2 linked regions of the Drosophila melanogaster genome follow. Changing the gene in region 1 together with any one later gene gives a genetic interaction. Each region holds a gene or a part of one and is shown on either strand. Other genes may lie near its edges. The genes, in order: Mon1 and VGlut.

Region 1 (4,383 bases):
CCGACAGATACACGAGCATTTAACACCCAAAAAATGCGTGGCGCATGTTGAAAAGCTGCTCCGTTTCGAGCAACTTAAATAGGTGGAAACAAAAAACGCCGCGTTTGCATCGTAATTTTCCATTTTATGCTGGGCATTTTCTATCTAGCACCACGCAATTTTCCACATTTTTCACATACTCATCGGTTTTAGCAATTATTTTGTAATTCTTTTCGGTCAGGCACTGGTTCAACTTTGGATTTCCGGTGGCAGCGCCCACAATCGAAGCGTGTGCGTTCGCGTTTGTGTCCTGTACTCAATTGTGTTCTCCGAGCGGTCGGCCAGCACCAGTCACATCGTAATCCTTGCGATTGGGTCGCCGATGCGAGTGCGCGCGTTAAGTTGTTGATTCCGCAAAAGCTCTCTCTGCGATTCCTTTCGCTCTCGAAAGTCCATCCCCGAAGATAACCGGTTTGGTTTGAGTCCGAACTTAAAGGATATGCTGCGCTAGCGGTGACTCGAACCTTTCGACAGAACTCAGTTTTCTATAGATCCACTAAGAGATAAACTATCTATAAAGTTTTAGAATTTACTTAAAGTTTTAAATTACAAATGTACATGCGTGATTCTGGTATACTAGGTTCAGTTAAACAAACGCCGTCACAACTGCAGCACAACAACTTTGTCCTGGTTCGATTGGCAGAGGAGCAATAAAAAAATAGTCATATATCTCACAATGCCCTAGCGAAGCGCGCTAAAGCTTAGAATGTGGCATGGTTTCGTATAAAGTACACGTCGTACTCCTTCTCGATCCACTTGATCAGCTTGTCCACGTACTTGATCACAGTGGCTTTGTCCACAACCGGCTCGAATATGGCGTACAGTTCGTAGGTTCCGGTTGCCCAGGCCAGGACCACCTCGCGCTCCTTCATCTCGTAGATAAGCTTCAGCGGGCGACTACTGTTGTGGATGCGATGCAGCAAGTCGCAGTAGATGGCCTCCAGGCGCTCCAGCTCCGTCAGAGATTTGTACGGATGCCTGAGCATGGGACACAGCAGTTGAGCTGTGCTCTTGGGCTTGTAAAGAAAGTGCCGCAGCTCGGGGATTCCCACAACCTGTTGGTAGAGTTTCGCATTGAACGGCTGCTGCAGCTCCTCGTTGATGGCTTCCAAGCAGTGGCTTTTGCGTAGCTTCTCCGTGATCTTTGCCTTGGCCTCTGCCAGCGTGAAAAAGGCATCTCTGTCCACGGACAGCAGGAGCAAACAGGCCTGGCAATCATCCGCCAGGTACGAGACATGCGCATGCAGATACCCATTCATGTCGAACTTGGGCAGGCAAATTGGTGACCAGTTCTCGGAGCTCTTGAAGGACTCGGAGCACTCTACCAGGTTGAAGATCAGACGCAAATCAGCCGGATGGATGGAGTACTTCTTCATGCGCACCAATGCTATCAGTTTGTTATTGGCAATTAGCACGGCAAACACCAGGTTCTTGATCTTGGAGCAGTTGCTCTGAATGGCGCTGGTGATTTGCGATCGTATCGTTGTGGGCAATGGGAAGACGCGAATTGAGTTGGTCAAAAATGTGAAGATGTTGTTGGACACTAAAAGAAGTCGTTGAGAAATTAAGCAATTTGGATATGCTTAGATATCCTTACCCTTGGCACTACTACTGTCGTTCGCCAACAGATTGTAGAACAATCGTTCGCTGCCGGAGAGCAGTCTCCTCAGATCAAAGTTCTTGCGCCTCTCAAAGATTTTCGTCATGTGTGAATACGTCAGAATGGACAATATTTGATTGTAGACATCCCTGGTAAAGAATGGGAAGTTCCCATTAGTTAGCATTGCTATCAGGTGCGTTATAATTGACTCACCCCAGTTGAAGCTGCAGCTGCTGCACACTCATGTTGCTCCTGCTGGCAGCCACCAGGATGAGCGAGCTGCGTTGCATGAAAGCGAACTTAATGCCGCCCGCATGAATGGAGGTAATAGCATCCTGGCCCATTTGGACGAAGCTTACCAGTGCCTGAATGACACCGAAAAGCGTGGCCAGTTTATCCTCATTGCCGTGTAGCGAGAAGATTGGCTTTCCCGCCTCGCTTAGTATGAAGATGTGTTTCTTTTGGCCCTGCCACAGACTGTCGTGCTGGTAATCGTATTCCTCCTCCAGTCCCCCGCCAATGGAGTCCTCTGTTTTGGCGCTGGTCGAGGTGCTCAATGCCAGAGACTCCACAGAGGCAGCCAGTCCCTTGTTCTCCTGCCCCGGCTCCGGACTGAGGGCACTGTTATCTCGCATGGTGCCCAGGCCATCTCTTAGCTCAGAGATAATACTATGGTTTTGTTGCTCGGCCTCCTGGTCGGGATCCGCCTCTTGATAGAGATTTGGGGACTCCGGATCGCCCTCTGCGTCTAGATACTCGCAGGTGGAGTTCGTGTCCGACCTGACTGACGTCTGCTCTACTTCCATTTCGAATTCGTTTAACTATTTCAGTCGCTGGAACATTGCAGTTTGCCAATATTTAGCAATATCATAAATTTACAACTAAATCATTACAGCTGGAATGGATTTCCCAACACTGTCCGAAGCAGAAGGTGAAATAAAGGGTGTTCCGGAAAACACACCATAAGATAGGCTTATTCATTCTTAAATGTTATGAAAAATAAGTTAATTTGATATATGGATTTTGAATTACTTTATCTTAATAATTATAATTAAATTTTTATATCTGTTATTTTGTTTTTGTTTTAAGACCTCTTATAGAAACACTTCTATCCAACACTACCCACCAGCTGTTTACCAAAATCGACGGAAAAGAAGAAGAACATAGGTTATGAAAACACGAGCCGCTCCAAAATGTTGAGAAAATCGTTTGCCAACCGTAAGTAATCAATTAAAACATCAAGGAAACCAAATTATACATGCTTTCCCTTGGTAGTACCCCGCTTTGGTCAGATGTGCGGTCTGCCACGACGCCTGCAGAGCACACAGCCGGAGCAATCGGTGGAAACGGAACCGGAGGACATCGCCCTGGTGGAACAGCGGATTCTGAAGCATCCGGACTACTTCCAAGTGCACAACCTGTTCACCGTGCGCGACCTCTTCAATGCCCGAGTGCACTATGGCCACAAGGAGGGCTCCCTGGACGACCGAATGCGTCCGTACTTGTTCGGCAGTCGATTAGGTCATCTGATCTTCGATCTGGACAAGACGGCATCACATCTGCGCGATGCCCTCAACTTTGCCGCACACATTGCCTTCCGAGATGGCATCATTCTGTTCTTCAACCGCAACGCCATGAACTCACATCTCGTGGAGCGAAAGGCCCAGGAGGCCGGTGAATTCTCGCACACTCGCTTTTGGCGCGGCGGCATCTTTACCAATGCCAATGTGCAATTCGATGCGGTCACCAGGCTGCCCGATCTTTGCATTTTCCTCAACACTCAAAACAACGTTATGGCTCAGCACACGGCGGTTCGGGACGCCGCCAAAATGGCCATACCAACGATTGGCATAGTGGACAGCAATTGCAATCCCAACCTGATCACCTATCCGGTGCCCGGCAACGATGACTCGCCGGCCGCAGTGGAGCTCTATTGCAACCTCTTCAAGGAAGCCATACTGCGTGGCAAGCGGGAACGACGCCAACTCCTTGGCCTTCCGCCTCTGGACGAATCCCAGCCGCGGCGCAGTCGCAAAACTAAGTAATAGCCAAGTAGTAGTGTCAAGTTGATTTTGTTACATTTATCTTAATACAAATGCCAATGGCCGTCAATCCACGATGAAGAAGAAATTGCTAAATATGGTTGCAAAATTGCAGAACTTTGTGCATGTGCCATGCTATTTGATAGTGTTTAAGAAAACCCACGACCTGGGTTAGTTTCGGATAGCTATTCTAGGGCGGCAGCAGAGTGGCACCCTTGACAAAGTTGTTGCTGTAGTGGCTGAAATACGAGGGATTGGAGTTGGACCCCGTGTTGTTGGAACTTCCAGAGGGCCAGTAGTTGGTAATCTGTGGTGGGGTGTCAGGTGGCGGCGGAGGCGGCGCTGAGGTACCAATGATGGAGAGATCCGTACCGCCTTTGATGGCACGGCCGGGACCGAAGAACGTATCCATTTGCTGCTTCTTGAAATCATGCATCGACGCAAAACCATTCGGCGGCCTCTCCTTGGACATGTCCCACGAGCCGATGCTGGATGACTTGCGCACGAACACTTGGCCCTTTTCATTCTTGTCCTGCTCCACCCAGCGCTCTGCATGCTTCACCGTCAGCATCGCCTTGTGCGCAACTATATACTCCTCGGCCTTCTGTAGTCGTTCCAGTTGCTGCTCGTCCAGCTGGTCGCGCGGCAGCTTCCCCAAACGCTGCACCGTTCGCTTCCAGTTGTGGAACTCACGGTTTTTAA
Region 2 (5,207 bases), 2.5 Mb from region 1:
ACACAACAGGCCCAACAGGATAATGATGATTACGCTGGCGCAATGAAATTGAAGACGACTTTCTGCCGAAGCTGCACTAATTACCGCTGACGTGCGATGGGAACTGGGAGGCCAGCGGAAGTCCTCGCCCGATTCCAGGACGAAACTCCGTCCGGGGGACTGTCAACTCAAGTTTGACACTTTTCTGCTGACAATTTATGAGAGCGGGCCAACAGCTAAGGTTACCGATTTGAGCACAGTGGGTGTTAAAGAATCATTTTGAGTGAGGAATATTATAAATTTGTCGAAATTATAGATGAATATAGCTTGCAAATCTCATATGCATATAGAACTTATTGTAATTTAAAAAATATATATATTTGACTAGCACTTTTGTAGATTGAGCTTGTAACCAATTTGAATGTTCGGTTTTTTCCACTGTGCACGATGGGCACTGACTGACACTCGATCCGGCCGACAACGTCGCCACTTAGTTTAGAGTTTTATGAGCACAATTCGCAATTCGATTATTCTTCATTTACGTCAATCAATGTGAATGGCGCTTTTAGCCGCTAGCCACGCACCCTTAATCGCTTTGTTTAAATAGTAAAACGCCGCACGGATTGGGCATTTTTCGAAATTTAATATCGCAGATGCTTTTATTGTGCCGCCGTCTTGTCTGTGGAAATCTGTCTGCCCCGAAGTCTGGCTCATGCCGTAGACGTAGTATCTGTATCTGCAAATGTATCTGTATCCCTTTCGAATGCGAAAATCCCGCTGCCGTTCTGTTGACTTTCCTTTCATTTCCCAGCTCGGCTGTTTCCTCGTCCCGCTTCTTGTTTATTTCGCTTTGCTGTTTACTTCCGCAACTTTATTATAGCTTTTGGCTGAGTTGCAACTGTTTGTTGGCTGTTTGCTTTATGCTTATGAGGGTTAGGCCAACGCGTCGTATTCGCAACGTGGCCAGGACATCTGGAGGGGATCCTGGAATGGGACGCCGAACGGAAGCGGGGATTTCTATGGGGCATGGATTTTTTCTGTCCCGTGAATCGATGTGGTTGATGAGAATCGAGGCAGTTGCTCACACTGTTGACCAGGATTATTAGCTACTTAAAGTGGCCATTGAGAATATTCAAGTTGAGTTGAGCCTAATAAGTATATGTGTTGTTTGGAACTGGAGATTCTTTTCTCTTTCCTTGAATATAATAACGAATAATAATAAACGAATCATTCTGCTTCTTGGGGCTAATAAAAGACAACTAGCTTTGGTTTTAAATAAGATCAATTTAGGATCGAAAAATCCATTAGAGTATTCTAATAAAATGAATCAAATGTTTTTTTACCGTTAGACCGCCCAGTAATTAATGATAATCCATTAGATAGATTTCAAGCTCCCAAACGTGAGAATTTAAAAAGCATCACGTCCGATTCGAATCGATCAAAGCCAAGAGCAAAGGACTTATTTATTTGTAGCCGGTCAGACTTCACGATTCATATTGAAACGCTCATCCATAAATCGTAGCATTTTCCAAAAATTCACCAAGTTTGGAGCTATTTTGAGCCCCCATGCAGACAGGGGAAAATATTCAAAATGGCTGACATTCTATAAAAAGGCGGCAGAAGGACGCAGGACGTCTGTGTGCCAGGAGGAAAACAATGGAAAATGGCCTGGCAACATGTTAATAGCATTTCACGCACGACTGAGATTCGCATGCCAACCCAGAGAAAGACATTCCCATGTACCAGGACCTCTGATTGGTTCTTTTTGGCCAGGTGGCGTGCCATTCCCCCACAGCTGTCCCCAGTCTCAACTGCTACAGTTGCCATTCGCCGTCAACCAATGCCGAAGGACGAAGGACTCTCGAAGGATTCTCGAGCCTGCGCAGCTGTCGCCTGCGTCGCGAGCTTTTCACCACAGCGGGTGCGAACGGGACGGATGCGTTGATTATGCTGCGGAGGAGCATAATCCTCTGGCAGGACATCCATCTGGGCAGACAAGAAAGGCGAATGCGGGCGCTTTTAGTTTCACTTCGTGCGTTGTCCTGCTGAGGCCAAAAAGCGAGCCTGGAGCTGCGGGTATATAGCTGGGAAAATACATCTAAAATATACCAATAAATCAGAAAATATAGTTCAAAATATCCGAATAATCGTGCTAATATAGCAAGTGTTTCGAAAAAGTGCTGCCCTCCGGCTAGAAGTTGAGAAATCTACGTTTTTCTGGCAACGCCTCGTAATACCCTTGAAAAGAAAATCTCGCACATTCCAGTGGTTGAAAATTTCCAGTGTATATACTACGCTCCTCCCACCCCTTTAACACCCCATCCCACATTCGCTTCATCACTAGTCCCTCCGTACATATACCCCTGTATGTGATACATTCCAGGCCGCGATGGCAGCTTATGTATCCATCTTCCGCTGCCACCTGTCCTCCGCCGATCTTTGGCTGGAGGTCCACAACGCGGCTGATTTTGAGTTGGACGTCACACAGTCTTCAGACAGAGTTGGATTCGGATCACCATCGTCCTCGTCGTCGTCGTCGGTTCCATAGACAACCTGCCGCCGGTCTCGTGGTCAAACTCTGTCTGGATGTTGTCGTCCCACATACTGAGTTCTTAATTGGTTTATCCAAAGTTTTAAGTTTTTCACTTTAGTTTCATTTCTATTTTTGCGGGCGAGTGTTGCTTAGAAAATGTGAGACTTTATATAAATAAATACAAAACATCTATAACGATATATTTTAACACATTACCAAGAAGATATATATTGTTTTAAAAAATTCTTCTAATTATATTAAATCACCTAATTCCATATCCCTTTTTATCCCATTTGCAGCGTATCGCGTAGTGAATAATCAAGCTATATAATCTGTTATCTGTGTACCTTATTTGTGATATCCTAACCAACAACAACAAAATAAATTAAACGATTTTCGTTGTCTACTAAAACATAATTTAAGCCAAGTTAATCACCAAAAATATCTGTGCTTAAGTTACGACTAGAGGCCGATTATATAATCTTGCACCAACTACGAAATGGATTACGTAACTCTGGTGTGGCATGTAAGTAGGCGTTGTGGCCAAAGGTCAAAAGTACAACTGTTTTGGGGGAGGAGCTTCCAATGGAATCATCTAAAGAATTTTGTGAAAAACGCCAAAGAATGCGTACATATATACTTTACATTTAGTTTCGAAATTCCTGATCTAACAAGAAATAAGCTAGTATAAAAAATGCACAAACTTAAAACCTATGATTATTTCCATTGAATTTGTTTTCTTATTATAAATTGTAATTCTAATAATTCCAATAATCGTAACATTGCTAACTCTTTCGAAAGAGATTACCCAAATCAAAAGAGGTGTCAAATTTCATGCTCACACCAAATGAAGCATAAAACGCTATCAAAACCGCTCACAATGCCAGAAATATTTACAAAATGCTCTGCCGGCTCAGTAGTTACCCCTCATCACAATCATTTCGAAATTCTCGTGAATTTATGAACATAAGCGGCTTACAAGAAATGTGCAAAATGATGAAATTGTACGAGACTTTTGCTTATCAGCAGCAGAACACAAATTGCCGGACCCATTAATAGCCGCATACAAATCTCTTTTGCAGGCACTGTAAATGAAAATGCACAAACTCCACGAGAATCGAAATCATATGGCGACCAAGTGAAAATCCCCCGCTGAGAGAACGAGCCAACCCGAAAATAGAGTCATCAAATTTGTGCTGGCTTCACGGAAATTAACCGCCGCCGATTCGCTACGCTTATATACACGGCAATCCGCCGTGAAGTAGGCAACAAAATATATTTATGCGCCCAAGTGATAACGGCGCAAAGGCAACGAAGCACAACAGACGCTGACTTGGGCGAAAGGACAGCAGCAGGAGCAGGACTCGTTGATCCGGAGGCAGGGGCGGAGTGAGGACAGGCGTCTGGGAAAATCAGGACTACTAGCTGAGCAGCAAGATGAAGGGTCTGACGGCGTTTAAGGAGAAGGCAACGGGCGTGTTTGGCGGGTGAGTCGATGTGATATGATATACTCTAGTAACACCAGACAGCAGGGTTTGGGTCTTAAAGAATATTCAGATTTATAAAGGTTTTTTTTTTTTACCAGCAAGAGGATATATTTAAGCATAGAAAGCAGATCTATATGTATATTTAAAATATATCCTCATTTTGTTGGCAAGTGTACAGCGATGATGGGTGGCAATATGCCCGAAATGAAATATGATTGCAATCAAATGGACCTGCGGAGAACAAAAGGGAGAGAGTTTAATTTAACGCAAGGATGGTCGGTGCTCGTGGTTGGCTGAACTTGACCATGCCAGGATAATGCAGTAAATATGTACCGATATTGATACGCACTGGCGACTAGCCGGCGTCGCGAAACTTCGGCACGTGTCGCGCCCCCCCCGGAAAGTTGTAAAATTATTGGCATGCTTAACAAGTCATTAGAGGGGGTTTATAGGGATTCTAAGGACTTGGGACTTGGCACTTTTCACTGGTGACAACGAACGCAGTGGCATGCGGACGAGCTCACCGGTGCGTCAGGAATTCCGGGCACGTTGGCAGCACGTGTCCGGGAACTTCAACTCCGGCACCTTCGATTGCGGACGAAACGCAATAAAGTCGTGCCACTGGGACATATTGGGCAAACACTCGATGAATGTGTGTGGTCGTGGTATGCAATTTGATGGGCACACCTCGTCTGATTTCTCAAGGACCTTGAGTGCTAAATTAGAAATTGGAACAATAGGTGGCACATCGCTTTCATTACGGAATTTGTTGCATACCGACGAAGGCTGCTGCAGCGCTTAAGGCAAATGAAATTGATTTTTACGAGCTGCGAGCCGTTTCCGTTTCCGTATCCGTATCCATTGCCAACAGGACCTGGCGCTGAAGCGCTCGAGTGGCACTCGGCGCGAAGAAATTGAAATGCCTCGTTGGGGGAGTGCTCAAGGAGTTCCTTTATCCTTGCTAGTGAAAATGAAATTAGAATTGCCATTGAAGACGCGGTCGTGTCGCTGACAAGCCCCCATTCTCCCACTCCCCCTCAGTGCCAGAGCATCTTCATCACAGTTGTCAGGGCAAACAAACTAATACACTCCATACAGCTCTACATATACATATATATCTGAGAATGTGCCCCATTTACATCTCTAATGGTCGCGTTTTGTGGCCACGTTAAAGTCAAAGGCGAATTGTACAAAAGCCTTCTGCTTGT

Evidence for each region.
Region 2: of Mon1 (region 1) and VGlut, changing one suppresses a phenotype caused by changing the other (phenotypic suppression), as found in Drosophila melanogaster (one study listed by BioGRID).

What each region holds. Positions count from the first base shown.
Region 1 is NT_033779.5:4,848,813-4,853,195, reverse strand, and holds Mon1 (monensin sensitivity 1), read right to left. Parts: upstream 2,556-4,383; 5' UTR 2,446-2,555; coding exon 1,853-2,445; intron 1,789-1,852; coding exon 1,637-1,788; intron 1,583-1,636; coding exon 741-1,582; 3' UTR 556-740; downstream 1-555. Other genes in the region: mRpS2 (mitochondrial ribosomal protein S2), read left to right, coding at 2,833-2,857, 2,915-3,684; CG11927 (uncharacterized protein), read right to left, coding at 3,872-4,383. UniProt on the Drosophila melanogaster protein: Part of the Mon1-Ccz1 guanyl-nucleotide exchange factor complex specific for Rab7 that promotes the exchange of GDP to GTP, converting Rab7 from an inactive GDP-bound form into an active GTP-bound form.
Region 2 is NT_033779.5:2,398,296-2,403,502, forward strand, and holds the start of VGlut (vesicular glutamate transporter), read left to right. Parts: upstream 1-1,999; 5' UTR 2,000-2,055; intron 2,056-2,455; exon of another isoform or gene 2,456-2,670; intron 2,671-2,811; 5' UTR 2,812-3,038; intron 3,039-3,594; 5' UTR 3,595-3,949; coding exon 3,950-3,999; intron 4,000-5,207.